2 linked regions of the Oryza sativa Japonica Group genome follow. The protein of the gene in region 1 interacts with the protein of each later gene in a biochemical or structural test. Links are inferred from orthologs where the notes say so. Each region holds a gene or a part of one and is shown on either strand. Other genes may lie near its edges. The genes, in order: protein GRIP and ADP-ribosylation factor 3.

What was found.
Region 2: the proteins of protein GRIP (region 1) and ADP-ribosylation factor 3 form a complex in vitro, tested with the Arabidopsis thaliana proteins (2 studies listed by BioGRID). The link is inferred for Oryza sativa Japonica Group from reciprocal best matches to the Arabidopsis thaliana genes ATGRIP and ARF3.

The regions. Positions count from the first base shown.
Region 1 is NC_089041.1:17,133,031-17,148,817, forward strand, and holds the start of protein GRIP, read left to right. Parts: upstream 1-4,311; 5' UTR 4,312-4,560; coding exon 4,561-5,026; intron 5,027-7,543; exon of another isoform or gene 7,544-7,547; coding exon of another isoform or gene 7,548-7,557; coding exon 7,558-7,673; intron 7,674-7,986; coding exon 7,987-8,156; intron 8,157-8,456; coding exon 8,457-8,550; intron 8,551-9,318; coding exon 9,319-9,405; intron 9,406-9,476; coding exon 9,477-9,557; intron 9,558-9,747; coding exon 9,748-9,873; intron 9,874-10,488; coding exon 10,489-10,597; intron 10,598-10,670; coding exon 10,671-10,750; intron 10,751-11,348; coding exon 11,349-11,477; intron 11,478-11,552; coding exon 11,553-11,653; intron 11,654-12,022; coding exon 12,023-12,156; intron 12,157-12,254; coding exon 12,255-12,352; intron 12,353-12,435; coding exon 12,436-12,555; intron 12,556-13,877; coding exon 13,878-13,905; intron 13,906-14,013; coding exon 14,014-14,066; intron 14,067-14,393; coding exon 14,394-14,465; intron 14,466-14,552; coding exon 14,553-14,600; intron 14,601-14,875; and 4 more. Other genes in the region: uncharacterized protein, read left to right, coding at 614-661, 743-1,984. UniProt on the Arabidopsis thaliana protein: Golgi matrix protein playing a role in tethering of vesicles to Golgi membranes and in maintaining the overall structure of the Golgi apparatus.
Region 2 is NC_089042.1:9,130,290-9,146,535, forward strand, and holds ADP-ribosylation factor 3, read left to right. Parts: upstream 1-7,332; 5' UTR 7,333-7,518; coding exon 7,519-7,621; intron 7,622-7,715; coding exon 7,716-7,754; intron 7,755-7,853; coding exon 7,854-7,916; intron 7,917-9,272; coding exon 9,273-9,291; intron 9,292-10,336; coding exon 10,337-10,448; intron 10,449-11,011; coding exon 11,012-11,059; intron 11,060-11,481; coding exon 11,482-11,612; intron 11,613-11,885; coding exon 11,886-11,919; 3' UTR 11,920-12,236; downstream 12,237-16,246. Other genes in the region: aspartate carbamoyltransferase, chloroplastic, read right to left, coding at 1,156-1,588. UniProt on the Arabidopsis thaliana protein: GTP-binding protein involved in protein trafficking; may modulate vesicle budding and uncoating within the Golgi apparatus.

The sequences.
Region 1 (15,787 bases):
ATCTTTGATGCCACACCTTAATGTTTGCTATTATTAATAGTACCTGTCAAAATAACCAAACAAATAGTAGTAAGTACTAAAGGCTGCACTTCTAATAGATGAGGCTAATGTCCAATTGTTTAAAATACCATGGCATAGAGGTAGACAGTTGAAATTTCATTACACTTGGCGTGCTAGCATTTTCATGAACTATAGGAGAATGGTTTTTATTTGTTTTTGCGAAACAGCCTCACATGGAAATGAAAAGAAAGAAAAAGAAAATGAAGAAATACACCCCCCTGAAACAACCCCTTTTCGCTTATGTGTGATTTACTGAATTCTCATTGTTTATCTAATCATGTTAGATTGTAATGCTATAGCTAGTGCAATTTCAGGAATTAATCTATGCAAATCCAGTATAGCTTAGCTGTCCTTTATGCAGGACAATCTGCAGAATGTAAAGAATAAATATTTGGAACTACTTGTGTGATGTGGATGTGTATTGATTGTCTCTCTGGTTAATACTTACAGAGTTCAACCTCATTTTGGAACTAGGCAGCTTGGCCTGGCAGTTGAACCATCTATTTTACAATAATTTGCCTTCCAATTAAGGACTAAAGGTCTGTTTTTTCAGGATCACTTGGCTTTGATGATGGAAATCCTTGGGAAGATACCAAAAAAGGTATACATATCTTTTTGCTGGTCAAACTTTTTTTGTTAGGACCGTGGATCTGACCAGTGTAATCTTTTGCAATGAGCTCAGATTGCTACCATGGGAACAAAATCAAAGGAGTATTTTGACCGTCATGGAGATCTGAAGCGGATAAGAAGATTGAAGTTCTCATCTATTGAACGTGTCCTAGTTGACAAATACAAAATTTCTGAATCCGATGCACGGGAATTTGCCGAGTTTCTTTGCCCTTTGTTTGATTTTGCCCCAGAGAAGCGTCCAACAGCTGCACAGTGCCTACAACACAAATGGCTTCAATATAGTGATGGCAAGAACTATGGGACTCTCAACATTAGTGATGTCAAAAATGCTAGTGTTACATGCAGCCCTGGAACGACTGCCAGCAGTGATTCTAAGAGCATTGATGTAACACGCAACATTGGAGACAAGCCTGACAGTTATGCCGAGAGAGCTGATGCAAAGTGCAATACTAGCAAAAAAAGCATCATCAACAGTAATTCTGAGAATTCTAATGTACAACCCAATACTGCAAGTGTTGGCAATAGAAATTCCAAAATTGATGATGTAAATTCTAATACTGGGAGCATCACTAACAAGGATTCCAAAAACACTGTTATAAAGCCCAGTATTGGAAGCTTCGTGAACAGAAATGCTGAAACAGTTGATGTAAAACCCAACATTGGCAGCATAACCAGCAGAGGTGACAGTAGTAGTGACACCAAGAGCAACATTGGAAGCGTTGCCAGTAAAGATGCCAAAACTATTGATGCAAAACCCAGCACCAGCAGCATCACCAGCCAGGATAGTAAGATTGGTGACGGAAGGAGCAACATTGATGGCATTGCCAACAGAGATGCCAAGACCGCTGATGTGAAGCATAACATTCGAAGCGTTGTTAACACTTATTTGAGGAATTTTGATGTGAAGCACAACACTGGAAACATTGTTGATGGTGGTGTCAAGCACTCAGATTTGAAACCAGGCACTGTAAGTGCTGCCAATGTCGATTCCAAGAGTATAAGTGCAAAGCCCAGCACTGGAAGTTTTGAGAACAGTGATGCCAAGAGTATTAGTGCAAAGACCAGCACTGGAAGTTTTGACAACAGTGATGCCAGAAATATTATGAAGGCAAACACTGGAATTGTTGCTAACAATGATATCAAGGATACTGATGTACAGACTAATACCGAAAGTGTTACCAGCGGCGACGACCTAAACGACATTGATAGAAAGCCAAACATTGGACGTGTTGCTGCAAGTATACAGAGGCTGGAGAGCAGCATAGGCAAAGTGCAAAGTGGAAAATATCGGTGAGAAAAATAATCCATGCTAGTGCTGATCCAGTTACCTATTTTGATCGGCTTGGATCTGTTTTCTTTTTGTGGAGAGGCATATTCAATTTCATTAGATTTGTGTCATTGATTTGATTGCTGAGGTTAATAACTACCCTTTGTGATGGAGCCAATCTTCAAGATTTGAGGATTTGGCAAAAGCACCAGCTGATGCTTTTTACATATCTTATATGTTCCTGCTAACTGTAAAAAAGTTTTGTATTTGCACACAGAATACACATGGAGGTACATATTTCTTATTTACCTTTGTTAATGTTCACAGATTTTATTGACATTCAAGGTACATAAACATTCTTTTGGGCTTGATCAGATTGTCTTGTACGAATGGTTTTAGTTCTGTCGAGTGAAACATGGAAGAGAACCATTTAACTCAAACATCCTTCATTAAAATGATTGCTTTCCTTGTGTTAATCTCATTGGATTTCTCCCATAAAAGTTTATAATGAGGTTCAACGTTATACTCAAGATGTGCCTTTATCTACCGCTTGTAACCGCTAGGTTTTCTGGAGTTATTTATTTTTGATAAGGTTTGGGAGGAGGTTTTGATTATGCATATAAGCATGGAGTTGGTCAGTTTGATTGATGGTAAGCAGGGGCAGATCCAGGAACAAAAAAAAATTGGGGAGGCTCGATTACACAGTTTCTTCAACCTCTAACCATTTAGAGACATTTAATTTATCATTCATGGTGAAAAATCGAAGGGGGTGCTCCGGGGTATCCATGGGTCTTGTGGGTGTAGGGAGGACTCAAGTGCCCCCTGCACCCACGTTGGATCCGCCCCTGATGGTAAGTGCTAAAGAGGCCTCATGGGAATTCCTGACCGACCAATGTTTATTTCTGATTTGTACTGGCGGAAGTGATCAGACATTAATAGGTACTTTAGATCTCACATTCTTGTTTGATCATATTTCATAATCCATGTATTACTGTCTGTAATTTCTGAATTCCGAATGTCTCCACAACCCCGTGGACCATGATGCCTTAGCTCGACCTCAGCTCAGGAATTTATGTTCCATACGATTCATTTTCTCATAATAAATGAGAAAAAAAAAGAACTCGTAGCATCTTGAATCGACCTTTTAACTTGTGTATAATAATCTGTATGTTTTTCTTTAGTATACTGTGCAATTTTTCGAAGATATTGTTATTTGTGTAAGAAGATAATGTTGGTTGGAATGATTCTGAATAAAATAGTGGTCACGGAAAATAGTAGCAGTGTAAAATTTATTGTGTGCCTGTTAATTTAAGGCTTTTATCCCTGTTCTCCGCAAGGGGTATAAGGACCCGATTTTGAGACCTGTTTGATTCTTTTCAATTTTTTTTAAAAGAATGAATTTTTCCCCTTAACTCGAATCCACTGCACCGACTGATAAATTTCCATGGATATTATGTGGCGGTAAAACATCTTCATAAATCGATCAAATATTGACTATGGCAATTCTGTCTCCGATCTTTCAAGGTCGCTCAACACAACAGCTTGGGTAGAAAAATTCTCAAAAAAAAAAAAAAAACAGCTTGGATAGAAAAAAAAAACTTGCACATAGGTTAGATATCCCAATCGAGCATGGGCTCGGGAGTGGCACTGCTGGATCTAGCACAAGCTCCATGGATAAGAGAGAGCGTGGCTAGCCCAAAGAAGATAAATGAGTATGGAGTTGTGCGTCGGTGAGTTGGCACTGTCCAAAGAAACTTTGTAATGCAAACTGAACTCCTTTCGATCAAGAAATGATAACCTACTCCTTCCGTATTTTAATGTATGACGCCATTAACTTTCTGACCAACGTTTGACCATTTATTTTATTCAATTTTTGTGTACAAATATAAAAATATTTATGCCATGTTTAAAGAACATTTGATGACGAATCAAGCCACAATAAAATAAATAATAATTATATATTTTTTTTAATAAGACGAATGGTCAAACGTTGGACAAAAAGTCAACGACGTCATACATTAAAATATGGAGGTAGTAGTAAATAAATGTGACACATTCTAATACAATAAATTTAATAATTCTAATATAAAGTTATTTTTTATTTAACAAAGTGAGCGGTGAAGAGTAGAGGACGACGACTGTAGTAGCCATCGAACGAGGTCAACCGTTTCCACCAATTTTACCCGCAAGTTTTAAAAGCAAAACTGACCTCGGGATTCACCCGGATCCCCCCTCGATCCGACGCTTGGCTTGTACTGTACTACTACTGTACTCCTCTGTTCCACTGCCATGTGGTCCCCGGTCCCACCCGTCAGCCACAGCCTTCCTTACCCGAAAGCGAGAATCGCTTCCTTGTCCGCCTGTGCTGCTGTGTGTCGTCCCCCCTCCTTCCCTTCCTCGCCCGCCCACCGACGGCCGACGGCCGACGGCGAACCCGCTCCTCCGCCTCCGCCGCTGCCTGAGCCAGCCAGCCATTGGAGTGGAGGATCCGGCCTCTGCTCCCCTCGCAAACCCCCGCCACTCCTCACCCGCACCCGATCCGATCCAACCCCGCATCCCCCGATCCCTCCCACGGGACCAAGATTCGGATCCGCCTCGCCGTGATGGATCCCGACGAGAACCCCACGCCGCCGCCGCCATACCAGGAAGCGGAGGCTGCGGTGCCGGTCGACGAGCAGCCTCCGCCCCCCGTAGAGGAAGAGCAGGCGGAGGCGGCACGCCAGGAGTCAGCTGCGCCGGTTGAACAAGATGCGGCGGCGGCAGAGGGAGGAGGAGGCGATCGCGCCGCGGGCGGGGAGCGGAGCCGCGAGGAGCTGGAGCGGGTGGTGATGGAGCTCGGCTTCCAGAACGACTACCTCAAGTCCCAGATCGCGGCCGCCGAGGGTGGGAGTGGGGCGGCGGAGTCGGAGCTCGTGAAGGGGTTGAAGGAGCAGGTGGAGAGGCTGAGGAAGGAGGTGGAGGAGCACAAGCAGACGCAGAAGGCCACCGAGGCCGCCCTCGAGCACGTCAATGTCGCCTACGCCGAGGCGGACGCCAAGGTCCAGGACCTCACCGCCAAGCTCACCCAAGGTTAGTTTCTACTGTCCCTGAGCCTCTTCACCGCGCCGGAAGTTGTCAGCCGCCGAGATTGGAATGGCGGGCATGCACCACTGTAACATCTCACTGCACTCGAGCTCAAGTAATTGGCTAACAATTTTTTTCTCGCTTCTATTTAGCTACTTGGTAGTTAAAATTCTGTATGGCAGGTAATTTGGATAATCTAATTTACTAATATTTGATAGTCTAATTGGTATGAAACTTGTTTGTTGGCCCATTTGGTCAGTTAACCTGTACCCTCCAAAATATGACTAGGGTGATGTTGCAAACATGCACAATACAAGTACCGAACTGCCGATACGGATCACGCCGGCTGGGACTGTTGATTTTATAAAATAGCACTGAATATGGGAGGGAATCAATAGACAATTGGTGATCGCCAGGTGTTTCATACCAACCGATGCTAGTAACTGTATTCAGCACAAAAATAGGAATGAAGATGCAAAACTTTTATGTTGGAATACATCATTACTGTTACATTGAGGAAACAACTCTCCTGGTGAAATCCATGTGGATGAGAAGAGGGAAAAGAAAGACAGAGGAGTGGGGGTTAGCAGTTATTACCTGTAGATTTCTTTTGAGTCAATTGTAAGGTGGGTGCAACTCGGTACAAAATCTTGCAAATTGAGCAAGCCTGTTAACAAGTTGCATGGCGCGTGCGAACCAAAACCAAAATAGCTCATGTGGCTAATCAGATAATTTTTATGTTGGCTAATAAATCATTTTCATGCTGATTACGTCTCCATGTACGCTAGCAGGTAGTAATCGAGATCTCGGATTTTAGCAATAAACTGTTCCCTGCATAATGCTGCCTCTTTCAAACTGATTTTTAAGCAGACCTCTCTTTAAACTCTTTTGTGGCACAAACAACCAACATGTGCATGCTTTATGGTGACATTAAAATCACACACCATATTGAAGTTGCTTAATCACAAACGGGTTCAACTCGTTTGGTCCCGAGGAATTATCGATCAGAATAAAGAGTGAGAATTGATTTATCTAGGTAGGGGGATAATGACTGATCATACATGGTGGTGCAAGGGTGAGAATTCGTCCTAGCCAAAGAGAGGTTAATGAATTTGTCTCACAAAGAGCAGATGAATCTTATAGCTAGGCATGTACGCACCACTCAAATTTTGCATACCTCAAATGATGATCCAAAACTTAAATACTAAAATTTCACATAAATTACACATGTAACTTTGTTTTTTTTTTGGCTTCAAGCTAGCCATTAAAGGGCAAAATCATCCATGCTTGCTGATGGGACAGCCCAATGAGTGCAAAAATGATCTGTGTAACCACTGTGCACCATTTTGGTCTTGGTCCACATGCACCATGGAAGTTGTTACACTATTTGTTTGTTCTGCAAGTTGTTGCACTAAGTTGCACCCACCTCACAGGTTTATGTACCCACCTCACAGGTTTATGTACTGTGAGTGTAATTTACTCATTTCTTTTTATATGGAGACATTTGATAGGTGATCTGAACCAATTTCTATCAGACTTACAGCTTAGAGCTTCTATGACTGCATAAAAAAAGCATACTCTCTGCTTTGATGTACCATTTCGTTCTCCCTCTATGATTCCAGTCCTCCCCACTAGTGGCATTGTCAGATCAAGCAACTTAAGCCTGAGGATGAATGAATATTTGTTCGACCTATCTAAAGTGTCAGACTCAGCATTTGATCGCATGGAGAGCAGACATGTACAAATATTCCGACACACCATGCTGAAGTTTCCTGTATAATATCGAACTGAGTCCAATAATTTTTGTAAAACACAGTTTCTTAACTGTTTTTTGCTCAGTTGTTTGATAACCCAATATTTTCTGATTTGTCCTTTCCAGGCAGTAATAAGTATATGGGGTCTTTATAGTTATTGGCAGTGACACAAAGTGTTTGGGTCTCGCTTCATAACCTTCATTTTGGATATTTTAAAGATATCAATATTATTATTTTTGGATGATTGTGCTCATTATAATGATTACAATGACATCGATGAATCTTTGTTAAGCCATTCAGTTAACAAGTTTTGGAAAATGGTAGTAATGAAAGGGAACTGAATGTTTCCAAGTAAATCACATGCTGACATTTATGTGTGTAAGAAAAGAGGGACTACCCTTGGAAAAAGGGTAAAGTTCACCAAGTCCTCAGAACTTGCACTATTTGCAAGTCAGAATCCATGAAAAAACTACCATTTTCTAGTTCTTTTTTTATGCTGGCACCCCATCTAGATCTGCAGATTCTTAGTGGTATTGTACAGATTACTGTAATTGCAGATAGGATCACAGGCTTACGTGTGATTCCTCAATAGGAAAAACTAGTGCAAACCATTTATCACCATCATTTCTGAAAAAAAAGCTCTAAAGTTGCTGCAGTTTAGTTTGATCAGGATACACCTTATATTATGATGCAAACTGTTCTCCTTTTGCTGCTCTGCTATGTACAACTGTACATTTGCTTTTCTATTTAGAATCTAAATCATCATTAGTTCCATGTATGTAGCTCAGCAGAAAATGGATAAAGAACTAAAAGAAAGAGATGAAAAATATGTTGAGCTGGATACCAAGTTCCAGAGGCTTCACAAGCGTGCTAAACAACGCATACAGGATATACAGAAGGTGACCAACTTGAGCTCTCCTTGTACATTAATTTTGGTGTGGGATTAGTTGATCGATCACTTAGCAGTCTTGATTTTCTTTCATTAGTGTGGAAGTCAATGAAGAATTTTGGGTTCTTACTATTCTATTCAACAAGCGATATGATGTAACTGTGTAAATGACTTGTTCCTACCTCTTGCCTGTAGAATGGTACAAATCATTATATGCTGTACACCAACATTTTACATTTCAATGCAATCCAAATATAAATCCTTTGAAGTCAGTGACAGTTGATTTTAATATCTATCCTGACACACTTGTGTGATCTTTGCAGGAAAAAGATGACATGGAAGCTCGCTTTAATGAAATTAACCAGAAGGCTGAGCAGGCTTCTTCTCTGCAGTCAGCAGCACAACAGGAACTGGAACGTGCTCGTCAGCAGGCTAGTGAGGCTTTACGGTCAATGGATGCTGAAAGGCAGCAATTGCGAACGGTGAACAGCAAGTGAGTTACTGTAGTAATCACACTGTACAGTTCACTCACTATATTTTAACATGCTGCTATAAAGTTTATATTCTCTTTTCTATTCAAGATGGTTGGTACAAGTGATCCATCATGGCAACATGAATGCTGAGATGTGTTGGATTGCCTACTCCAGTTGGTCCTTTGTAGTTATAGTCTGATGTTTATATGTTGAGCACTTGTATAGGCAACTTGTGATGAAGTTTATGACCTATTTTTCTGCAATAGACATGTTAATGATATACAATTTATTCTTACTAGTGGACACAAATCATTGTGTAGGTTAAGAACTAATCTTGATGAGGCACGTGTTGCCTTGGAGGCCAGGAATAATGTCCTTGAGAAGTTGCGACAATCGATGTTTGAAAAAGAACAGGTATGTAAATGCAGGTCTTAGAGTGTTTTTATGAACTGCGATATTTTGTTTGAGAGGTATGAACTGCAGCATTGCTGGGCACAGTCTTAAACTGGAAATAAAAAACAAGAGGAAATTTCACCTAACCCCACCTATTATGGTCTAAATTGCACAAAACCACAGGGGTTTTGGCACGTGACAAATAGCCCCAGGTATTATGGTTATAAAGTTTCACAAAACCATATTATTGATCATTTTGACTTTGATCTACCACACTTTTAAGTTCTACAATCACATCTCAAATTATAGGTTCTTTATCCATCATATAAATGTTACATCCATATAAGTAAAGTTTTTTTAAAATAATTTTTGATATAGGAGTATGTTAAATTGGTTAACGGTGTGGTTTTGTGAAACTTTAGTACCATAATACCTGGGGTTATGCGCCATGTGCCAAAATCTCCATGGTTTTGTTCAACTTGGACCACAATAGTTGGGGTTTTATGAAATTTAACAAATTGTATGGACATGATAATACAAAAAAGAGAAATAGGGGTTAAAGTTGTCATATTTCAAATGCTGTAAACTGTATTAGGATGTTATCTAAATTTGAGATCATATTTGTCACATCGCTCAAAAGTCATGTTGATAGTCATGATAATAGCTAACCATTGTTTGTTTCTATTAGCTAAAATAATGTGGAAAACACATAGCTATAAATCTAAAACCTTTTCTAGTTATATAGTATAGCAATTATAACTTAAATAGACTGATCCAATGTTTGTAAAGTTGTTAGAGCAAACCCAAGCATCACTTCAATCTGCAGAAGAAAAGAGAAATGCATCAATTGCGGAGCTTACTGCTAAGCATCAGAAGGTAAAGAAAACAAATGCAGAAAAACAGTTTTCCGCACATTAATTATGTTAACTTGGCCTTTTTTCCCCTAGCAATTAGAAAGCTTGGAGGCACAGCTAACTGAGGTTTCTGCGGAGAGGACAAAAGCATCTGAAACGATCCAATCTCTTCAGGTGTGATTTGCGGCGGAAGTTTTCTTGCATATTTTTTTGATTATCACATGCCCTGTTCTGTTTGTGTCCTTGCTTGCTGTTGTGCTTTTGACTTAAGCTTTATTGTTAAAAAAGTCCATTAGCTGAAGAAGATTAATCTCATTATGACGGGAATCAGTAATGAGTTAAATGAAACATCAAACTTTTCCAGATGTTGCTTGTGGAGAAAGATTCAGAAATAGCTGAAATTGAAGCAGCTTCTACTGGGGAAGCTGCTCGAATTAGAGCTGCCATGGAGGAGCTTAAAGGCGAGCTTGCTCATCTGAAGGACCAACATGTAAGATAATTTATTTGTACAGATTCATGCTATTCGGTTAGAATGTTGAACCATGTGATAGATGCCAAAGTGATTTACATATTCAATATTTATAGTTATTGTGGTGGTTAGTATCTATGGTTACCTGATGGGTTGGATGAATGCGTAACATGTTTATATTTAGTGCATCATTACAAATGAGCAATTTTAAAATGTTTTTTTCCCTTTGACTAGCTGGATGGCATTCTTAATTATTTAAAACGAAATAATCCATATATCTCAAATAGATCTAACATGTTACACACCTGCTTGTTCTGTCCATGCAACCATGTTTCCTATTATGATATGTTGATTCAGCCTTTGACGTGTTGATTGACTTGCGTATAATTACATATTTGCATTTCATTCTGTTGATTTGGGAAGTGACTGATTTCTATAGAACTAATAATTGACATTGGCTCTTTTATTATCATCACCAGTCCATCACTTGAATATTTTGGATTTGTAGTTGAAACTTTCCTTTAAACAGCCTCTACTTCTGTTTCCCTCCTTTTTGGCACTTACTGTTGTTTGGTCACCATGTTTTATGAAGTCCTTGAGACTAAATAGATTGGTTCCAACTCGATATTTACTCAGGAAAAAGAAAGGCAAAATTGGGAAACTACTTGTGAATCGCTTAGGACAAAATTGGAAGCATCAGAAAGTGCATGCCATATATCTGTGATAGAATCTACTAAAGTTAAAAGTAAGTTTGCTTTCCAGACATTCTATTTTGACTTCAGAGATATCGCACTCATACAAATATTGGACTATTGCAGGTCAACTGGAGTTGGAGTTATCAAAGCAAAACCAATTACTACAAACCAAAGACTCTGATCTATTGGCTGCAAAAGACGAGGTATAAACTTAATGTGATTGTGAAGCCTAATTGTACATAAAACCATGTTTCAAATTATATGTCAAAGACTCATAATTCGAAGTTCATGTCAAAACTCAATTTATCCTCAATGCCATTTTGACTTAGAAGGATTGAGTATCTTTTTTTTTTGACTTCATTCTTGTAGTATATTATATGAGCTAATAGGCTGGCAGAATCCTCTCTCTGTCTCTGTCTGTCTCTTTCTCTAAGAAAAGGCTGGCATAATTTATTCTAGGCCTGAGTAGCAATTTTTATAAGGTGACCAAGCTACCAGTTATTGCCACTATTGAGTGAAATTGCTTTGTCATAATAGTGGCAATGTTATTGTGTACATGCACATCTTTGTTATTTGAAATGCTTTTACTCGAGGAGTTTATACTGTTAGTTTGTGTGCTGGCGAGAATACAGTGGCAGCACTATACAATTAACTGAGAATTCCTTTGAAATCTTTTAATATATGCCACTGTATTAGGAGGTGCCCTAACAGCTGATTCGACAGCATGTATAGTCGAATTGTTGAAATGCATGTCGACATGCTTTCGGTTGCAACTCCAATTTAGCCTTTTGAACTTTGCAGATTAGTCGGCTGGAAAGCGAGTTTTCTGCATATAAGGTCCGCGCACATGCACTTCTGCAAAAGAAGGATGCTGAGCTGAACACAGCTAAAAACTCAGATTTGATTAAAGCACATGAAGAAGCAATAAGGGTATTACATTATATTTTAAGATATATACTATAACCAGAGATTTGAACTGGCTTGATTGATTTTGCTTTGCTCCAGGAAGCTGAAAAGGAAATTTCAGCTGCCTTGGCAGAAAGAGATAAAGCCATCCATGACCTTCAAATTGCTCAATCCAAATATGGTGAAGAGATTGAAGCAAGGTAAAATTGGTTTCACATTGTAGCCAGATATTGTTGTGTGTTCTTTTGATCTGTTCATGACATGGAGCTCCAAAATTAAAATGATGTTCTACACTTGTAGATTGTAAAATATGCTATGAACACTGTAGGAAGGTCTTTAAATATACTTCCTGGTACTTGTAGCCATATATTCGTAACTTGTCATTTAGACACGAACTGGTTGCAATAGCCTGGTAGCAATATGCAATGTAGCAATATTGCCATGTTATTATATTTGTACCCTGGTGGTTGCTATTAACATTATATTCCTGTAAGCTGATTAGCTGATGCACTATATTACTATAAATCTTTTTCTTGCAAGTTTCATTTTGTACTTTATTTTCTTCTCAGGGATTTGGCTCTCGCTGATTCTGACAAAAAGTTAAAGAATGTCATGGCAAAATTGGATTCTCTTACTTCTAAATTCCTTTCCGAAAAAGAATCATGGGAGAAAAACGTGGCAAGTGTAGAGGAAAGCTGGAGATGTAAGATGTCCATGATTTACTTAGAATCCCCCCCTCCCTCTCTCTCTCACAAAAAGGTGTGGTATCTGATGGTAAAATTTGTCAATCGGATGATGCAGTGAAATGTGAGTCTGTGAAGGCTGAGAGCAATGGGCATGCTGGAGATGAACTTAAGAAGAATTTAGTGGAGTTGACAGTAAAACATGAGAAACTAAAGGTTCCCCTGTGACATGGGTCATTTTTATCTCCATACCAGTCTAATGTCTGACACAGTATTTTAATATATGATTGCCTTCTTAGGAAGAGCATGATTCTTTCCGTGATATTGCTGATAGAATGCTTGAAGAGAAGGACCGGGAGGTGGCTAAGCTCCTCAGGGAAAACAAGGATCTACATAACTCTTTAGAGGCTAAAGCGGCAGTAAGTCATTTTCTGATTACTATCTTGGTTTCCTGTATGGAAGTAATAAAACACATTGATTGCTGTTCACTGATTAAATGCCAGCTGTGTCTTTTGTGAGATATTTATATTTATTCATCTCGCTTATATATTTTAAAATTCATATCTAATCACTAACAAGTAATGGCTCGTAACATGCCATTTGTGAAGCCGATACCAATATTACAAGGAAATTCCATTGATATCCTCCAATCCAATCTTCTACCATATATAAATTAACATATGTTCTTTTGATGCCATGACCATCTCCTGACATTCTCTGGGAACACATTATGTGCACAGTACAGTTTCCACTCTGCATCAGTTCTGTCAAACAAATGTCTAAATCCTACTCTATTCCTTTTTAATTTTTTGGTTGTAGTTTGGGGTAGATTTGGTGAGTGAAGAGATCAGTAGCAAAAAAGGCCGCAAAAATGAGTTTTTGTGAAAAGAGAAAGTCAGCAGTAAATTTTGTGCAAGTGTGCAACTTCTGTGTTATTTTCGCCACTAACAATTATAGTCACCCCTTCTTTCTGTGGTACCATGTCCTGCCACTCGCTACAATATGCAATGTCCTGTGTCCAGTCACTTGAAGCTTCTGCTGGCTGTTTCCTCACATAGTCACATCCTAGAGAGCATACTACAACTCGCAACTGCTGCATGCTGTCAATGAATGCATTTGCAATCATCACATGCATGTTTCTTTTTGTCTGTACTGCATGAATGTGTAAGTAAATGATGACTGAATAGGAGGAACATTTTATTTTTCTGGTGTATCCTTTTGTGACTAATAACAACTACAGGCTATGTGAGGAAATAAGTAATATTTTACTCTTTCCTGGGGATATATCATTTGGAGTGGTACAGCTATGCAGCTAGAAGTAGTCGAGTATCTGAAAACCCATGGCATGCAAGTAACTAGCAATTTGAATGATGACCAAAATACCCAGAATATACATTCACCATGGTGTTGGAGAATTGTTTCTTTGACACTTTACATTTTCATACTCCCTCCCTCCCATAGCATAAGGCGCACACACATTTTAAGATTCAACTTTTAAAACATTTTATTTTATTTGCTAAAAATAATATCATCGGATTGACGTTGAATTTACTTTCGTATGGTTATAATCTTGTTGCTAAAAATCTTATAGTATATGAGAAACTATAAGTCAAAGATTAGTTTTGGAGATCGTGTCGAGTTTGACCGTGCCTTATATTATGGGATAGAGGCAGTAAATGATAAATAGTAAGCAAAATTTGGTTTTGAGATTTCGTTAATAAGATTATTTCACTTGTCACAGGTTAGCATCAATGGTAATCAAAATCCAGGTAAATGGTTGTCAGTTTCTTTTGCATTTTGTTATCTTTCCTATCCTATATTCTTCCCTCAGTTTAATGGTTACTTTGGAATTTGTTGACATGTACTTGTTTTTGCAGGACCTGCTAAACAGGATGCAATGGACATTGAACTGGCTGAGCAGCAAATTCTGGTAATATTGAGTTTGAAACAATGTTGGGCATGCCTTTAAATGTTAAGACAAATTCATGGATATTGTAATCATCATTCCAGTCATTGGTAAATTGGTTGCATGAATTGAATTAAAGTTCTACTGTACTTTGCACTCTTCGTAGCATCACTTGCCTACTTGCCACTTAATTTTGCCAAGGTTATGTTGCGATTTATTATAATGAATCATAATTTCCAATTAGCCAATTAAACCAGAATATTTTCGACCTATCAATATTGTTGAAGTAAATAAAAATGGATGGGGGCTTCTCAAGATTCTCAATTTAAAATGTGATATCCACATTTTCAGCTCCTTGCACGGCAACAGGCACAAAGAGAAGAGGAATTGGCTCAATCACAGAGGCATATATTAGCACTTCAAGTCAGTTTTGAGCTTAGCAATCATTCTTTTGTTTGTTCATTCTGTTATTAAAGTACTAATGATATTCCATTTCTTTCCTTTCTGTAGCAAGAAATTGAGGAGCTTGAGCGTGAGAACCGCCTTCATGATCAACAGGTTCGAGTTTCTTGCACCTATCTGTAGTTTCATATCCAAGATTAATGGTTAAATGTCCTTATTTATTTGAGTAATACAAAAATGTCTTGTGAATTTTCTACTCAAGGAATACTTAGCTTAAATTATGCAAAAAAGTGTACCAAAGTCTTTAATTAGGTTTTTGTGGTCAATGAATGCTAACCAGGATTAAAATTTGCAAGATGTGCACAAAATATCTTCATTTGAAGAAATGGAGCATAGATTATGCATTTTTAAGTAATAAATTTCTGTTTCAGGAAGCAATGTTGAAGACTGAGCTCCGCAATATGGAGAGATCACAAAAACGAGAAGGAATAGATATGACATATCTAAAAAATGTTATCCTAAAGCTTCTGGAAACAGGTTAATGACACTATTGTCTTTGACTACAGTAAGTTGACTGTTGATCTAAAACATTATTTGGTTTATGCTATCACAGGGGAAGTGGGAGCATTGCTGCCTGTGGTTGCAACATTACTGCAATTTAGCCCCGAAGAGGTAAATGCTCACTTGCTCAGTATAAAACTGATTTCCATTGTAGATGATTGCATTCTTTCTTAGCATCTGATTGGTTATTTTTAAATGGTGAAACACTTTCTCTAAACTATCTTAAAACCTCAGCTTTGTACAATGACATGTTGAACCATGTTAGCTAACAATGGTAGAAAGGGAAAATTAGGACGGTAATATTGGAAAACTTGAAACTCGAGAAACATAAACACCAAAGAAACATAAAAAAAGCTAAACGATATGGAAAGCGACACTCCAAGGATATATTCCACACCAAATTCCAAAGAAAGAAAAACACAATTACCCCATTTCACTCCCAATTTGAGGCATTATAAAGTTGCCATCACCCCTGTACCCATGGGCTACAGTTTCCTCTCCTCCCCCATACCCCCACTATGTCACTTCAAAGCAACCGATTGGTATCCTATGCTTCTCTCTCACCTTCACTAGTCTGCCTTGCTATGTGTATCCTTGTTTGTCAAGGCAAAGAAGTATTGAGCAGTGCGACAGCGATGTCAACCTCAGAGGCACATGATGGCACATGATTATCTCGTGATGGAGGCCTTGGTAGCACTGTTGACTGTTGTTCAATCGTGCTGTGGTGGTGCCAGTGGCAACCGAATCCTCTTCTGCAGTCACCATTGACAGCTGGCTACCAT
Region 2 (16,246 bases), on another chromosome or scaffold:
AAAAATGTTGAGAAGGCTAAAAGAAACTTATATATTTTGATTCAGAGGGATTTATTTTTACTTGAAAATGTTAGTTTTAGATCTGTTTTGTGAGGTAAGCACCAGTCAACTGTCAGATCCAGATTAAATAGTGAGATTATTCCGGGAATTTATATTCCCACACAATACTAATATAACATATTAATTGAATATATAGGTCCTAAATGCAAGTATGCCACCCAACATCACAATCAAAACATTTAGGACAACAAAAATAATTTATGGGTAAACCTTTTATATTTGTACTATTCGTGGTTTACCACAAATGATGCAAACTGATGTCCTTAGATCCTCCCTATCTTCCTCGAAGGAATAACTACTGATGCAACTATACAAACATAGTAGCCAACTGGCAGCAATACCAGCGCCCTGGTACTTGAACTAGTATCATTAATCCCAACAACACATTTCAAGATAATTTCTTTTGGCATTCGACATCACAACTCCAAGGCATTGAAGATACCACCGTGATTCTAAAACAAAAAAAAATGTGATGAACACCAACATCCCATGAATCAACCTATCCTAGATATCTCACCATTCTTTGATGCCCTTAGCGCAAATGACAGAAAACTCATGTTCGCTCCACAATGAAAGTCAAGAACTACCCTTGAAATTTTCTATCTCGCAGATTCAAGCAAAAATATCCAACTGAAATGTCATCGAGCACGCCGAAACTATCCAAAGAGTTCACTGTACAACTAGTTATTCCTAGCATTTGTTTCCATGACATCCTATAATACGACAAGACTAAAACTGTTCCAAACAATACCAAATTTCTAGTTGACACTCCATGTCATCCCACTCCGCTCCAAATAAACTTGACTAATCCACATCACTCCATACCACAGTTGATCCAAAACCATTTCAAACTCTCCCATAATTTTCAACTCCGTTTCGCGGCCATTTGCACAACGAGAGACAAATCAAGATCTACCAATTCCGACAATGCAAAACCAACATGTACCCAGAAGGCACAGAATGAGCATTTCCTCACCTGTTCACTATCGACAACTCACAAAACCACTCCAATTTCATCCCAATACTTCGAAATTTGCCGCTCCAACCAAAGGTTCAGTCACTACATCACTCAACGCACTGAACCCAGGAACTCACCTTCCAGGGTCTCGCCCTTGGCGGCGGAGGAGAACTCGCGGGCGTTCTCGGTGGTGAGCACCTCCCCGCCGAGCCGCCGCATGGCGGCCTCGAAGGAGAGGCGCGTGCGCGTGGACGGCTCATAGAAGAGCGTGGCCATGAGGTACCCCTCGAGGACGCGGCTCCTCCCGGCGCCGCGGGAGGAGGACCCGCGCTCCAGGGCCTCCATCTCCCGCGCCACCTCGAAGATCTCCGTCAGCGCGTCCCGGTCGAACTGCTGCGCCTCGATCACGTCCCCGAGCCGCAGCGACGCCGCGACCCCCGCCGCCGCCGAGCCGGCGCCGCATGCCACCGCGCCGCGGCGAGCGGGGAGGGAGGGGAAGGGCCTGAGCTGGGGCCTCGGCGAGGGGGCGGGGACACGCGGGAGCGGGAGGGTGGCGCGGGCGGCCGCCATGGATGGGGGAGGAGGAGGAGAAGTGAGCTTACTGTGCGGAGCGGCGGGAGCTAGGGTTTAAGGGGGTTTAAGGAGGAGGATTTTTTCTATTGTTAATTTTGGATTTTCGTGTGTTTTTTCGTCGGATGTTTGATCGGTTTGGACTTGGTTGTTGGACCTCCCTAGACTTGTTTTAGTAGTATATTCTTGTGTTTTTTTTTCTTTTCTTGTTCTTTTTCTTGTGATAGAAACAGTGACCAGTGAAGGTGATGGGGAATATTTTTCTTAGTAGGGAATATTGCAAATGGTTAGCAAGAAAATTGTCGTAGTCTGAAATTGATGCTGGCTCGAAGAGAATACTCTAGTTTTGTGTCCTGAGGAAACGACCTTGATGTTACAGAGGGGGTGAACAGGCATCTAAAACTTTTAAGAAAATGCGGAAGCTGAACGTTTTGGATACTTCCTAGTATTTTCAGATATTTCTAAAATATTTTTGGATATTTTAGAAAAACTCATATTTACAAGCAAACTAGCAAGTCAAGCAAAAAGGGGTTCGGCATAATTAGGGAAAGAATTGCACAAATAGCAACTAAACTATTAGCAACACCAAATAGCAAAACTAGATGAGTGAGAGAGATATCATCGGGATTCTTATGAGATAATGTGTTCCTAAAGTTCAAATCCTTGAGGGGATTCTACTCTCCGTCGGGTCTTTTCCAACCCTATCCTTGTGAGATTGCACAAATACACTCCTTCCACTAAGGGTATCTCTTCCCTTTTAGAGGTGAGATCTGACCTTCACATACTCCCTCAGCACACCACGAACAAATCGGTGTCTCGAGGTTGACTCCTAGCCGTTTGGACACTTGTTTGGCTTTCTAAGGGTGAAGAGGGGTCCAAAAGTCTCTAAATGAGTCCATAGCACCACCCATTTATAGCCCCAACTCCTTCAACTAGTTGTTTATTACCGTTGATAGAGTCTGCCAAAATTTGTATAGGATCCAGATTGTCCAACACTTTATGCTTTTCCAACATTCATTGAACTACAAGCCATTGGGCCATAAAGAGGTGGACGATCCGATAGCTGTAGGATTGTTCAACATTGCTTCTCCCAAACACTCCGGTATAGTACCATATTGTCTACTCCACTGCTTCTTCAACATCTGATGAACAATCATCTAGCCACGTCCAGAGCGTGTTAGATAGTCCGGTACCGCATCGGACTGTTCGACCATGATTATCCGAAAGTTCCCAAACAATCTAGTTCACTTAGTTTCTCGTGATCATCTTCACTAGATTTTTCCGACTCCACCTAGATTGTCCGGTCCATGTTAGACCCGAATTTTCCTATACCGCACATGATTGTCCAATCCATTATAACTTTGGGGCAAATTGATCTTCTATCTTCCAAACTTTGCCCAATTAACTTTCGCTTCAACTCATTTGCTTTGAGTGTTGTTTTGGCTCACTTTTCCACTTCAAAGGACTTAATGCCTCCGTATCACTCATTAAAGACATTATTACATTATTCATTTGTCATTAATTAGCCAAAATTTAGCTAGGGGGTCTAGATGCACTTTCAAACAATCTATTTGTTGACTCAGGAATTCCATATACCTAATTATGTTATTTGTTATATCTTTTTTATGCACACAAGAAGATATTTGGTTGCATCGGTTAGATTATATGCCATTTGGCAAAAAGAACAACTCTAAAAATAGTCTTATAAATGGATTGTGGTGCGTCACTTAGGGCAAGCCATACTAAGTACCACGATGAGCTACAATGAGAGACAATAACTAGCACACAATTAAAAAAATTCCTTTATTCATTAGATAGTTAAGTATTGAGCTTTTTGTGATATCCATTAAATAATTTAACTTCTAAATATATAATAAGATATTGAATGGTAAAGAAACAAAAAAAATAACATATTAGTTTGATAGTGAAAATGGTTAAGATCTTATTAATTTTGGTTACAAATGTGTCAAAATACTAATGATCACCGAAAATTACCTTCATTTTCCGAACCGTTTATTACTGATTAAAATTAATTTATAAGTAAAACTTTTATAGACATATCCTTAGTGATTCAAAAGCAAATGTTGTAAGATAAACTACGTTAAAAAACCAACATAATCAATAACTACAAAATTACTACTACTCCATCCGTCCAAAAATAAATCAACTTAATTTGAATTTGTCCTAAAATAAATCAACAGTTACCTTCTTATCTACCATCGGTCCGCAAATCAAAAAATTTTATTCCATCAATACCCCTCAACTACCTATTCACCACCAATGTAACTTTTCTACCATCGGTCCGCAAATCAAAAAATTTTATTCCATCAATACCCCTCAACTACCTATTCACCACCAATGTAACTTTTCTATTAATTAGAGACATTTTGGCTCATTATCTTCTTCCTTAATTCCAATTGGCAACCTAAGGTTTAATTTATTTGTGGGGACAAAGAGGGTATATTTTATATTATAAGTCATATTGATTTTAAGTCAAACTTCTTTACGTTTGACTAGATTCATAGAAAAATATAATAATATTTTTAACACAAAAAACTATCAAAATATATTCAATGTTAGATGTAATGAAACTAATTTAGTGCCTCTTTTTAATTGAAATATAAGTATGTTTGATTTTAATTTGTTGGGTAGAAGATTAGGAAAAGAGAAGGAATACAAGTTCTAATGCTAATGGAATTACTGTTGGCAAACCGTTAAAATGCACATGACACCTTTAGACTTATTTCTTAGTTTCCTTTTTCGAAGCTGTCTCTGTATCTTTCTCCGAGGCTTTCTGCATTTGTATGACAATAGGAATCGTGAGCTTAAGCACTGATATAGAAAACAAAGTATTAAACTATAGTGCAGTTCAACATATATGATTTAACATGAAATACATTATCAGTCTTGACGGGGAAAACATGCCGTAGAAGGCCATAAACTTGTTATTTCAATAACACATATTACAGCACTAGACCAAATGTTACTTGGCATGCATCTATTTATATACTGACTATATATTTGAATATTTGATGACTACAGATAAGGCTAAACCATAAATATAACTATATAAGCATGGTGGGTGAGATGACATTTTGTCAACGGTCATTCTGGTCACATGAGGTCAAAAGTTAGTAAATAGGATCAATTTCGACAATGAGGTCAAAAGTTAGTACAATAGGATCAATTTCGACAAGTAAAATATCTGCACAAGCACTCCATTAAAGATGCACATGCTAGATTTGATCATCTGTATGGCCTACACAACAAAAATCAAAACATGAGAAGAGTTTTATTCTCTTCTCTCTTTACTATAAAGAAAATACACAGCTCTCCTCCTGTATGTTTGAGAAAAAAACTAGAAAATAATGGTTGAACTGAACATTACAACCAAAAAAATACTCATACATTGGTCACCCGATGTTCACTTAAACCATTTTCTTTTAGCAGGAGCAAAATAAGTCTCTGGAAAACGGCCAGAATCAATTGGATACATTCACGATGGATGGATGTGGTTTAATGGCAAGTAAGCAAGGTCCGATCTGTAGGTGTACCGCTTTATCATGTTTAGTCCATTGCAGTTGCCGCACAGGAACATGGAAATTAACATTAGGTTTCTTGAATAGGCGTCGAGCTTCATCAGGACATTACTAACTGCTGCATACATGCATCGCAAATCAAGTAGCATTGAATATCAGACTGACGAATATACGAAATGTCATTAGAAAAAGAAAAAAAGAAATTTGAAATTGGCTAATAAACGCAAAAAGTTCAAAGCTGATAAATTCAGCTAACAGTATAGTGCCTTGATGGTAAGGCATGACCAACAAATAGATGGAGGTTTTGGGATATGGTTGGATATTAACATGTAGAGATAATCCCTTATATGCCACTAAGAATTGTCTGATCCTTTATATGCCAGTGAAAATCGGTTCTTCCCCTACATGCCATCGGTCCAAATTTGTGCACCCTCTCATGCCACTCCCGTCTATTGACTCCGCCTATTGATTGTGTGTTGACCGTTAACTATAAAGTAAAAAAGACGTATTTGCCCCTTTGAGTTGTTAGGCATGTACTATAGTTTTCCTTCTTTTCAATAGGAGGCAAACCTAATTAGCATGGCGATACGACTGACCACAGGTTTGAAGGATGACATTAGTCAAGGCAAATGACTCAAATGGAGGATGCCATATTGTTGAAGCACATTTCCCTATCATTTTCCTTTTATTGACTATTTGTAAATCATCTAAAGTTTGTATTTTATCTATGTACACTGATTGTTCCTCTGCTCAATCTCAACATAATTACATGCCATTTTACTTATACCTGCTGGGTACCCCACCATGTTGTTGGCCAACAAAAAAAGCATGGTTTTTTGGTGAATCAATTATTGTAACAAAATTCCTCTTGCCTCGTTTGGTAGGGTTCCAAACTCCAACTCTCAACTCTAACCTTCAACTTCAGTGAGAACTGGTTCCTATATGAGCTGAGGTGGGTATGAAAGTGTTTGGCTAGATTGTGTCACCACGTCCCTTGTTGGCATTGTCCTGCCGTAGTCGCCGCTCCACCCACGTGCCACCGCACGCGTGTCGCCTTGCCGATGCTGACCCTGCGCCGCCACCCACGCGCCTCTTGCCGCCGCTGCCATCGCTTGTGGCCTTGCTGCTCTCATGCGCCACGCCACCCGCCCCCACCGACGCCTGCCGCCGCCGTCAAGGGAGGAAGATGTGGATGAGAGAGAAAGGGAGGAGAGGGGGTGTGAAGGGGTAGTTCAGTGGCATATCGCATAAATACATGAAAAAATTAAAGGGTAGTGGGTCATTAGGGACGAAATGGAGCTGTGAAGTAGAAAAACCCAGTTCTACCCCGTAGTACAATTTTGGGGAGTAACTCTGCAAACTCCGCTAAAAAAATGAAGAATTTGTACCGTGTGGCACAACTCCAGCTCTAGGGAAGTTGGAGTTAGGAGCTAGAGCTGTGCCAAACGGAACCTGAATATTATACAATGATGAATAGAAACTATTTGAATTTGGATTTGAAAGACATATACTTGTAAAATCCAGATTTCTGTTTTAACTTGCTTGGCATATACTACCTGAATTAAGCGAGTATAAACGTGTCCTTGCAACGTTTCTCAATTCAGTGAGCATGAAAGAAAATGTGCCTAGTATATGCATGATTACTAGTATTCTACAATGGATGGAGTATTTATTCCATATCCTAAAATTTTCCATTTACATTTTGATCTTCAACTAACCTGAACTTAAAACCAACCCAGAGAAACCATGTCTTTTTCTTAGGTAAAATAGAGGATGGAATTGTTAAAAAACCGTCACAAGTTATTTTTGCAAAAAACTTTCAAATGTAGTTATAGTATAGTTATAGTGTAACTACAATATAGTTACAATGTACTGTACTGTAATCTCTATATAAGTTAGATATAAAGTTATATATATTATTTTAATATTTATATACATAGTTGTAGTGGAATTACATTACAATTATATTATAGTTAGATTTGAAAGTTTTTCATAAAAAAATCTTACAGTAGTTTTTAGATAATCCCAATAAAAAAACCATACAAACCCCACATAAAAACCTTTTGTAGCTGCAATCTTTTTCTTAGGAAATAGAAAAACCATACAAACCCACCTAAAAACCTTTGCAATTGGAATCTCTCCTAAATCCACCAAACCAAACCAAACCGCTTCTCCCCTTTTCCCCTCCAAACAAAAAATCCATCCATCCACCTTCCCCATTCGGTGAGTCGTCTTCGTCGTCTTGGGTACTCGCGCGCGCCAGCTCACTCCCAGATCTCCCCCCTCCTCTCCTCCCCGTCTCAGATCTCCACCGCCGCCGCCGCCGAAACCCTAGCCCAGCCCCCCGCCTTCCGCCGCGCGCGCGGGGGTGACCTCCGCGCCGCCGCCGCCATGGGCATCGTCTTCACGCGGCTCTTCTCGTCGGTCTTCGGCAACCGCGAGGCCCGCATCCTCGTCCTCGGCCTCGACAATGCCGGCAAGACCACCATCCTATGTAAGCCCACCTCGCCCCCCGACTCCATCGAATGTAATCTCGCCGTCTCCACCTCGGATCTGATCTGGGTGCTTGTGTTTTTTTTTCCTCGCAGATCGGCTGCAGATGGGGGAGGTCGTCTCCACGATCCCAAGTGGGTTCCCCGCTCCCGATTCCCTCATTTTTTTTCTTCCATTCGGTTTGCTCCGCGGGTTTGGTGACGTGTGTGCTTGTTGTTGTTGCGTTGCTGCAGCGATTGGGTTCAACGTGGAGACGGTGCAGTACAACAACATCAAGTTCCAAGTCTGGGATCTCGGTGAGTGTGCCCCCAAGTCTCTGATTCACGAGGACTGGTTTAGATTTTTCCGCGAGACAATTTATAAGTACAATTTACGACAATATCCATGAGGCCAATTGTGGGTACTACAATTTATGATTGAGTGGACCAATGGTTGAGACCTAGCTGACTAGGGTTTGACCATTACAATTCTGATTCTGTCCTAGGTTTTGAGGGAATTTTAGTATAACGTGACCTTTTTTACTTGTATGCTGAGTTCCTGAATTGAATCAAAATGGGGTTCTGTTTATTCTATGTGGTGTTGAAGTAAATGAGTTGTTGCCTAATGGCTTTCATGGCTTGTCTGCAAAGAGTTCAAAAATGACCATTCTGAGCATCTTAAGCAATTCAGTGACCTGTTTTTTCCTATGTTTGAAGGCTGATGTGGTTATTCTTAAAATACTATCCTCTCATCTGCTTTGGCACTGATCGCCAAGCCTTAGTATAAGAAGTATTTGGTTCACTAGCATTTCACAATCCTAAGGGGAAGTTCATATGCAGTAATACACTAACACTTGGATTCTTGCACAGCAACAATAATGATGTAGAATTCCTGCGGAAGTAGAAATGAAGAAATAAAAAAAATAGTGGAAAACAATGAGGAGAACGTGCTCAAATCAGACTTTAGTCAGCATGTTCATTTGCGAAATAACAAGAGTCTTGTATGGTGGGCAAGTAAAACCATGAGTATTTTTTTATCACTGCTAAATAAAGTTTGTATTAAAAACAATAGCCATTCTACTGTACCCCCAAACCGTTAGAGCTTAGAGCTTATAGCACATTGATAACTATGGAACTCACATAGCTTTGACTAGTATTTCGATCTCCGAAACTCATATAGCTTTGACTAATATTCCAATCTCGGAAAAGTGTGGCCTGGTTTTCGAAATATGGATTCATTTGCTTAGCGTTTGATTGCACCATTTCAAAGCTAGTTGTCTCCTGTGGTTAGTAAAGAAACATATTTTTTTAATTGCCACCATCGTGTAACATTACATGTACGATTTACTGTAGCAATACCTTGTAATCACCGGAACACTGGGGAGCTACACATTGCATTCCATTTTCCATGTCATTTAATTGAAATCTGCAAGAATATTATGCTTGGAAACGCATGCTTAATTGGGCAGTTATTCACATATCAAGCATATTTACTCACATTTAATGCATTATACAGCTGTAGTGATTTAATGCTTATATAGTTTAAAACAAACATCTGAAATTGCGATGAGTTTCTGCTTCTCTATGCTAGTGAAACTTTGTTTGCCTAATATTTTTATGTTCCTTCACTTTAAAATATCCAATTTTTTTTTAACACCACTTTCTTCTCAACAGGTGGTCAAACAAGCATCAGGTACCATCTCTATGTCATCACAATCAAAGTTTTTTCTGTCAAGTCATTCATGCCTTTATATAGTAGCCATTTAATTTTTATCATCCTCGAAAAGGATCACCCATTCTGCCTTCTTACATTTAGACTACCTTTTCTTTTCAATCATGGAAGTATTGCGCGTGCAATACAATGACCTGGTTGAACCTTCTTACTTAAGTTTCTACAAGCTAATAATAGTACTCATGTATACTACTTGAAATGTTCTGATAAAATCCTAAAGCTAGAAATTTCTTAGGGTTCAAAGGGTTAAGTTGGAAATATATTTCCTCTCTAGTTTTTTGCACTGCTAGCTAGCTAGGATTTTTACTGCAATAAGGTTTTTTATAGACATAGGCTTTTACTGCAAACCCCTAATTTGATATGGTTTGATCTTGGGGAATATCATAGTTGTAAAAAATAATCCAAGCTTTTGTAAGAGTACTTTTATTGGGTGTAAATATGGCTAGTTTGTTTTTTTCCTTGGGCTTCAAATATCTAATTATTCTCCATGGAGTTTTTGCGTTTGAGAGGCAGGCAACTGGATATATATAAAATTTACTTGGTCATCCTGTTCTTCAGCCGGATATGTATAGAGAAGGGACATAGATGCTTACCACAAGAAATGGGGGCTACACATTTACCCCGGGGCTAAGACAGCTTTCTAAATACTATCGCTTATGATATTCCATATACTACAGCACTTGACCTTTCCCATAACAAACATATATAGATCTGCACAGTGGAGTACATAGGTGTCCAAATGAGCGTAATGCGACCATTCATTGAAATGAAATTGTAATTGTTTACCTTATACTTACGTGTTTAGTTCAGGATTCACAAGAATATTTAAACTTTATAGTCAACCTTCACTTATGTCTTGCTACTTCTGATTCCTTTCTGTTACTCTTTTGTATTCAAGTATGTTTCCTTTGTTAGGCATGGATTCTCTTAGATTATTTGACTTCCTTCCTTTTAAAGACTAGGCATGACACGTTTCTCTACGCCATTAACATATTCACCTTTTTAGGCCATACTGGAGATGCTACTTTCCAAATACCCAGGCTATCATTTATGTTGTCGATTCAAGTGATACAGATAGGCTTGTAACGGCAAAAGAAGAGTTTCATGCTATCCTTGAGGTATGGGCCACCTGTGCTTGAGGGACTCGGTATATATATTTACTGTGTCATATGTAACCATTACATGGAAGAAACAAATGGGATTTTGCACATATTTCTCAAAGGGTGATTATGACTGCAAGTTTAGTGAAGCATGCTGCTTGCTCATTCTTTAAAATCATTAATTGGTAATAAAAAATCCATGTATTTTTGTCAGGATTTAACGGATTGCTTACTTGTCAGGGGATTTCAGGCGCTTTGTGATTCACAGGCTATGCCTCCTTTTGCAGTTTAATTTTGATCCCAACAACTGGTCTGTTATAAATTTGATAAATCAATATCTCATGCTCGTTTGTTCATGAACACTAACAGTGTTTATGCACCACAGGAGGCCAGGATCCCTATCTAGTTTGCTATTTTCATTCTTTTTATGGTTAGAAATATTAGCAGCATTTCGTTAGCATGGTGTTACGCTTGTGTAGACATAAATCCAATATCCTAATGATTTTAAGGCTATAGCAGTACACATGAATTGATTTCATTTAGGTGCATTTGCTTATTGGCTGCTTGCCTTCAACTGGCAGGAGGATGAGCTAAAAGGTGCAGTTGTCCTTGTATATGCGAATAAACAGGTAAAACCAAACCATTCTGGGTCTCATACACTGTTGTTAATTTTGTGTGCTTAAATTGGTTTCAAACGTACTCCGGTGCTACATTTTTCTGCATGTGGTTCACTTGGATTTTGACAGCCCATGGCATCTTAAGTCCTTAAACAAAAGTTACTTCTAGCTGTTCTGAACTTGCACTATTTAAGCATTTTTTTTGGTTAATAAAATATATCGCTCTCTGTACCAAACAAACGTAGCCTATTTATTATGATTTTCCATTATGTTACTTGGACATTAGGTTTCAAATGTGAATGTCTTTTTGTCAATTGTCATTCTTTGTTGCTTGCATTTTCTATACAAATAAGTTGGAGATGCTTTATTCTATGGCAACAATGTAGACGCCCAATATGATGTCTCATGTGCTGTCATGCCTACAATGAATGCAGGATCTTCCAGGTGCACTTGATGATGCTGCCATAACGGAATCATTAGAACTCCACAAGATTAAGAGCCGTCAATGGGCGATTTTCAAAACATCTGCCATAAAAGGAGAGGGCCTTTTTGAAGGTTTGGACTGGTAAGTCACATGAAATTTTCTTTTCTCTACGGAACAAATGAAATAATGGCTAAAATGTTTATGCTGGTAAAATCCTGTACTATCCTGTTTCTTGTAGTGACGTGAGTACTGGACGGTTTGTTTTCCTGTGAATATGATTAGACTGAACTCCCATGTTACATTTTTTCCAGTTCTGTTTTACAACACATTATTCTGCAATTCCTCCCTGATGAATGCATATGGGAATATCTGATGGAATTAACTTACAAAAGCCTGGTTTGATTCTTGCTGCAGGCTCAGTAATGCACTGAAATCCAAAAGCAGCTAATTTAGGAGCCTCTGTTCCATGGATCATTGCTTGATGGTAAAGAACAGGGACACTGCTCCCTTTTCCTCACAAGTCTGCGTGAGAACCCCCATTCTCTTTGTTTTAACTCCAGAAGTTTTATACCATCGATTATCTGTAAAGTGCTTGTTAAAGTTTTCGGATACGACTTTAGATGTACCTCCATATTGAGATCAAGAATAGATTTGTAGAAAATGACGAGCAAACTGTCAGGACTCTTGGTCACTGGTGGCTTTACCCGTAAATCCCTTCTATTGTGACATTTTTTTCCGATGATTGAACACGCCTAATTTCCACCTTGTCGCCGAGTTTCATGTCGTTTTCTACATATTCTTTTACTCTGGTGATACGAATGCTTGGGAACATTATCCACTAGTCATTTCTTAATAATGTTATATTGAAATGAATGAAAGAAGTGATCTTGATTCTTGACCCTCTGTAACTAAATTAAATCTACTCTTGACCTCATCTATACATCTTTATGATCACTGTTCAATTGGTAGCAATTCTGATGACATGTAATACAACTATGAAATCATAATTCGCAGAAAGTTACCACAATAACTCAATAACATCATAAGCACAAGGGTACGGATGGTAAAGTAGTAAAGTATGATACGTCTCTACTCTTGGATAAGCACATCTTAAAACCTTACTTTTGAGTTATATGTTTTTAAAATCTTCCTTTGATATTATATGTATATTTCTCTTAAGAAAACACTACCATAAGTCCAAAACATCATGATATTTGCATTTGATTTTGGGATTCTTTTTCTCACCGTGGCTTATTTTCTAGCATTGACTCTTAAAACAACAATAATATACAGATTAATATTTATCTACGAATTACTTTTATCGTTTTGTTTATTTTTCGACGGCTTATTAGTCATACCACTAATTAATATAGCGTCTAGTAATAATTGATGTAGCGACTTTGCTGCTGGTAAACAAAAGGAGCTAGATAGACCTGGCCCAGCACAAAGCCAGCTGCGAATTGACGTCAGCAGGGACGTCATCTGATAACTTGTGCTGAACACCAGGACCAGGGCAGGCCGTTTGTTTTTTCTTGCAACGACTGTTCAACCGTCGTCGCGAATAGTCACTGTCGCCTAGTCCGTGTTTAGTTATAGACTTTTTCTTTAAACTTCTAACTTTTTTATCATATCAAAATTTTCCTACACACGTAAACTTCTAACTTTTTCATCATATCGTTCTAATTTCAACTAAACTTTCAATTTTGGTGTGAACTAAACACAGCCTTAACAACTTGGACATGGAATTAGGAGGATTAATTAATTAATTTGTTTACGGCGACATCCTGTTCCATAGAAATGTCACGGTTGCTACAATATCCCCTTAAACATCAGACACGTGTTGTGCCGACAATTCATCGCGTTTGCGGCGAACAGTTCCGATTCCGTTAGATATAGGCAAGGCCAAGTGTCCATATAATACTTGAGTCAGTAATCACATTTGCCCAAAGAAGGAGATTTGTTTTTTCAATTGCACGAAGGAGATTAAGGTTGTTAAAATATATCGATTCTGTTATATAATTTTACGATTCTAATTAAGGTGTTTGATTCTATGATTTTACCATGTAGGTAGAATTTATGATTTTTACGTACACGATTTTATGATTGTGATCTTACTTATACCTTTCGATTTAGGATCACGATTTTAACAACTTTAAAAGATATTAAAGTCGTTAAGTAAATCAGGCTGAATTCCTATGAAAAATGTTTCTGCGTTTATGTAATTATAGGTACCAGGACAGCCATAACTCCACTACATCAGAAGTGTTTCTGTATAATCTGCACAAGTTTCTTCACAAGTATTCCACTTATTTCACTACATTTCACCATCGATCATCTTTTGTGTTTTAAGATACTTGTAGTTGCAACTTGCAACTACACTAGTCAATTTTTTTTGGAAGGATTAGCATGCAGGGAATTGGATTGATTGGTTATCAACTGACTGTCAACTTTTGCAAACGCACTAGTCATGAGTTAATAACCAATTGAATTGGATGGAACACTGGCTTGACAAGAATCACTAGTTGCGGAAAAAATATCTGTAGGAAAAAAAATCTATCTGTGTATAGGATCGGGGTGAATAGGATTTTCTAAGTACAAGGCCAAATTAGAACTCAATAACAGAAGATTATATCTACCCTAAGTTCCTATGTTTGACAACCATTGTGACCCAAAATTTGCAACTGAGTTGAAGTTTTACTCAATTCTAATTCAATCTATGAAAGTAAAATGCGAGAGGTAAAGAGATTGAGATAGGAAAAGCAAACAAGATGCTGAGACTTTTTCCCAAGATATCGAAAATTGGGCAATCTCCACTAGTACTCTAATTTGGAGCACTATAAGTGAGAGTTTTACTTCCTCTCATGGCCATGAAATCTGTGAGCGCCCTTTAGCGGTAGTTCTTCTCTACTCCAGAAGATAACCCAAAACCTTCACAAAATTGCATCTCACAATTTTCTCGAGAGATCACCATGAACATTTCCGAGACCGGCTAAGACATGCCGAGATGTCAAGAATAACAAGAAGCCTTCACTCAAGCAACTTAGCACTAGACTACTTGGCAGATGCATACTAAGACATGTTTGATTTGGATTATTAATTAGATTGTTGCTATTGATTATCTACTTGATTATAGAGATAAATTAATATTTTCATAAATAAGTTTAATAAATAGCTTAAGACAACAGTTTTTGCAGTGCAGTAGAAGAATGCTTTTTCAAGAAGAAAATACATTTTTCATAGCATGAAGTAACTAATCCGATAAATAATCTGCAAGTGATGTTCACAAGTATAGGGGAGTGGATTCAGGATCGATCCTATATGAAGGGGGTACTCATCCTCTTCATCCTTTTTTCAGTCCCCCATCTTCCTCATCTTTTCCGTTTCTCCTCACCTTCTTCATGGGGATCCAACACGATAGGGAGAACTCGAGTCCCAGCGCCCATGTTGGATCCGCCCATAAGTACTCCACGTATTTTGTTATCTTACATTTCACTGTCGATCGCCTTTTGTGTTTTAAGATGCTTATAATTGCAACTGCACTAGTCGGGCATTAGTCAATTTTCTTGGGAAGGATTAGCATGCCAGGAATTGAACTGATTGGTTATCAACTGGCTGTCAACTTTTCCCAAATGCACACTAGTCATGAGCTAATTAATAATCAATTGAATTGGATGGAACACCAGCTTGACAAGAATCACTAGCTCAAGAAAAAATATCTATTGGTGTGATGGCCCACAAGAGAGCAGCTTCTACCAAGTGCTACTAGAAGACAATGGAAAGTGTCTCAGAATGTGATTGTGCATCAAGCCGAAAGATAGCAGTCGTCCTGTTTGTTTGGAGGCTACGTGGCTGGAAGGTTCTGGAACCATGAGAAGAAAAAAAAAAGAGGATAAGATGATAAGTCCAAATGAACAGAAAACCTGGGCGACTCCTAATTGAAGAAACCTTCTAGTGCTTGGATGAGCAGCCGACCGTGCCGGAAAAGGTAACCCGTTGATGATGAGTTGAGCTTGATTTGCACGCACTTATCTGCAAGGGGAAAAAAATTATTTCAGAACCTTAAGTTTTAAGGAAAGCTTGAAAACCATCCAACTTTTAAAACAGGTTTTAGCTTTGACTGAATACATCATTTGCTTTACATTTTCTCTGTTTACGTTGTTAGACCTTTTTAAGTTAAGTGACAGTTTCATCCCAAAGTAATTAATCTCTCCCTCAACGAAAATTTAAGAAAATATTGTAGAGAATGTATGTATAAGTAAGGTTTATATATGCGTGGATAGTCTCTCAGTTCATTATCATCTTTACCGAGACACTCCACATTTAGGAACTACTTGATAAAACGGCTATTTATTATAAAAATAAAAAATAACAAGAATTGTTCAAGTTGGTACCCACTCGGTTACCATAATATCGATGATCGAAATATAGACTGTTATAAGAAATTGTTTATATCAACGGTCTCCTGTATAATTTCAAACAGACCTAAAGAGAGTCCTAAGTAATATCATATTGCTGACTGGCAAGATTTATCGCTGTCGAAGTATCAATCACCTACTTTCCTGTGTGTGATCTCTTTACTAATGACCACCGCCCCCTCCCCCCCCCCCCCCCACTTGACACTGTCACCCATTCCACTTGCTGCTGCCACACATGCCTAAATTACACGCTAGCTAAAGCTAGTGAGATCTTTTTGTTCGTCTTTTTTGTGAGCCGCACAGTGAAATTTAGGACTAGATCGATCGATGATGATGTGACTGATCGAGCAGCTAATTTCA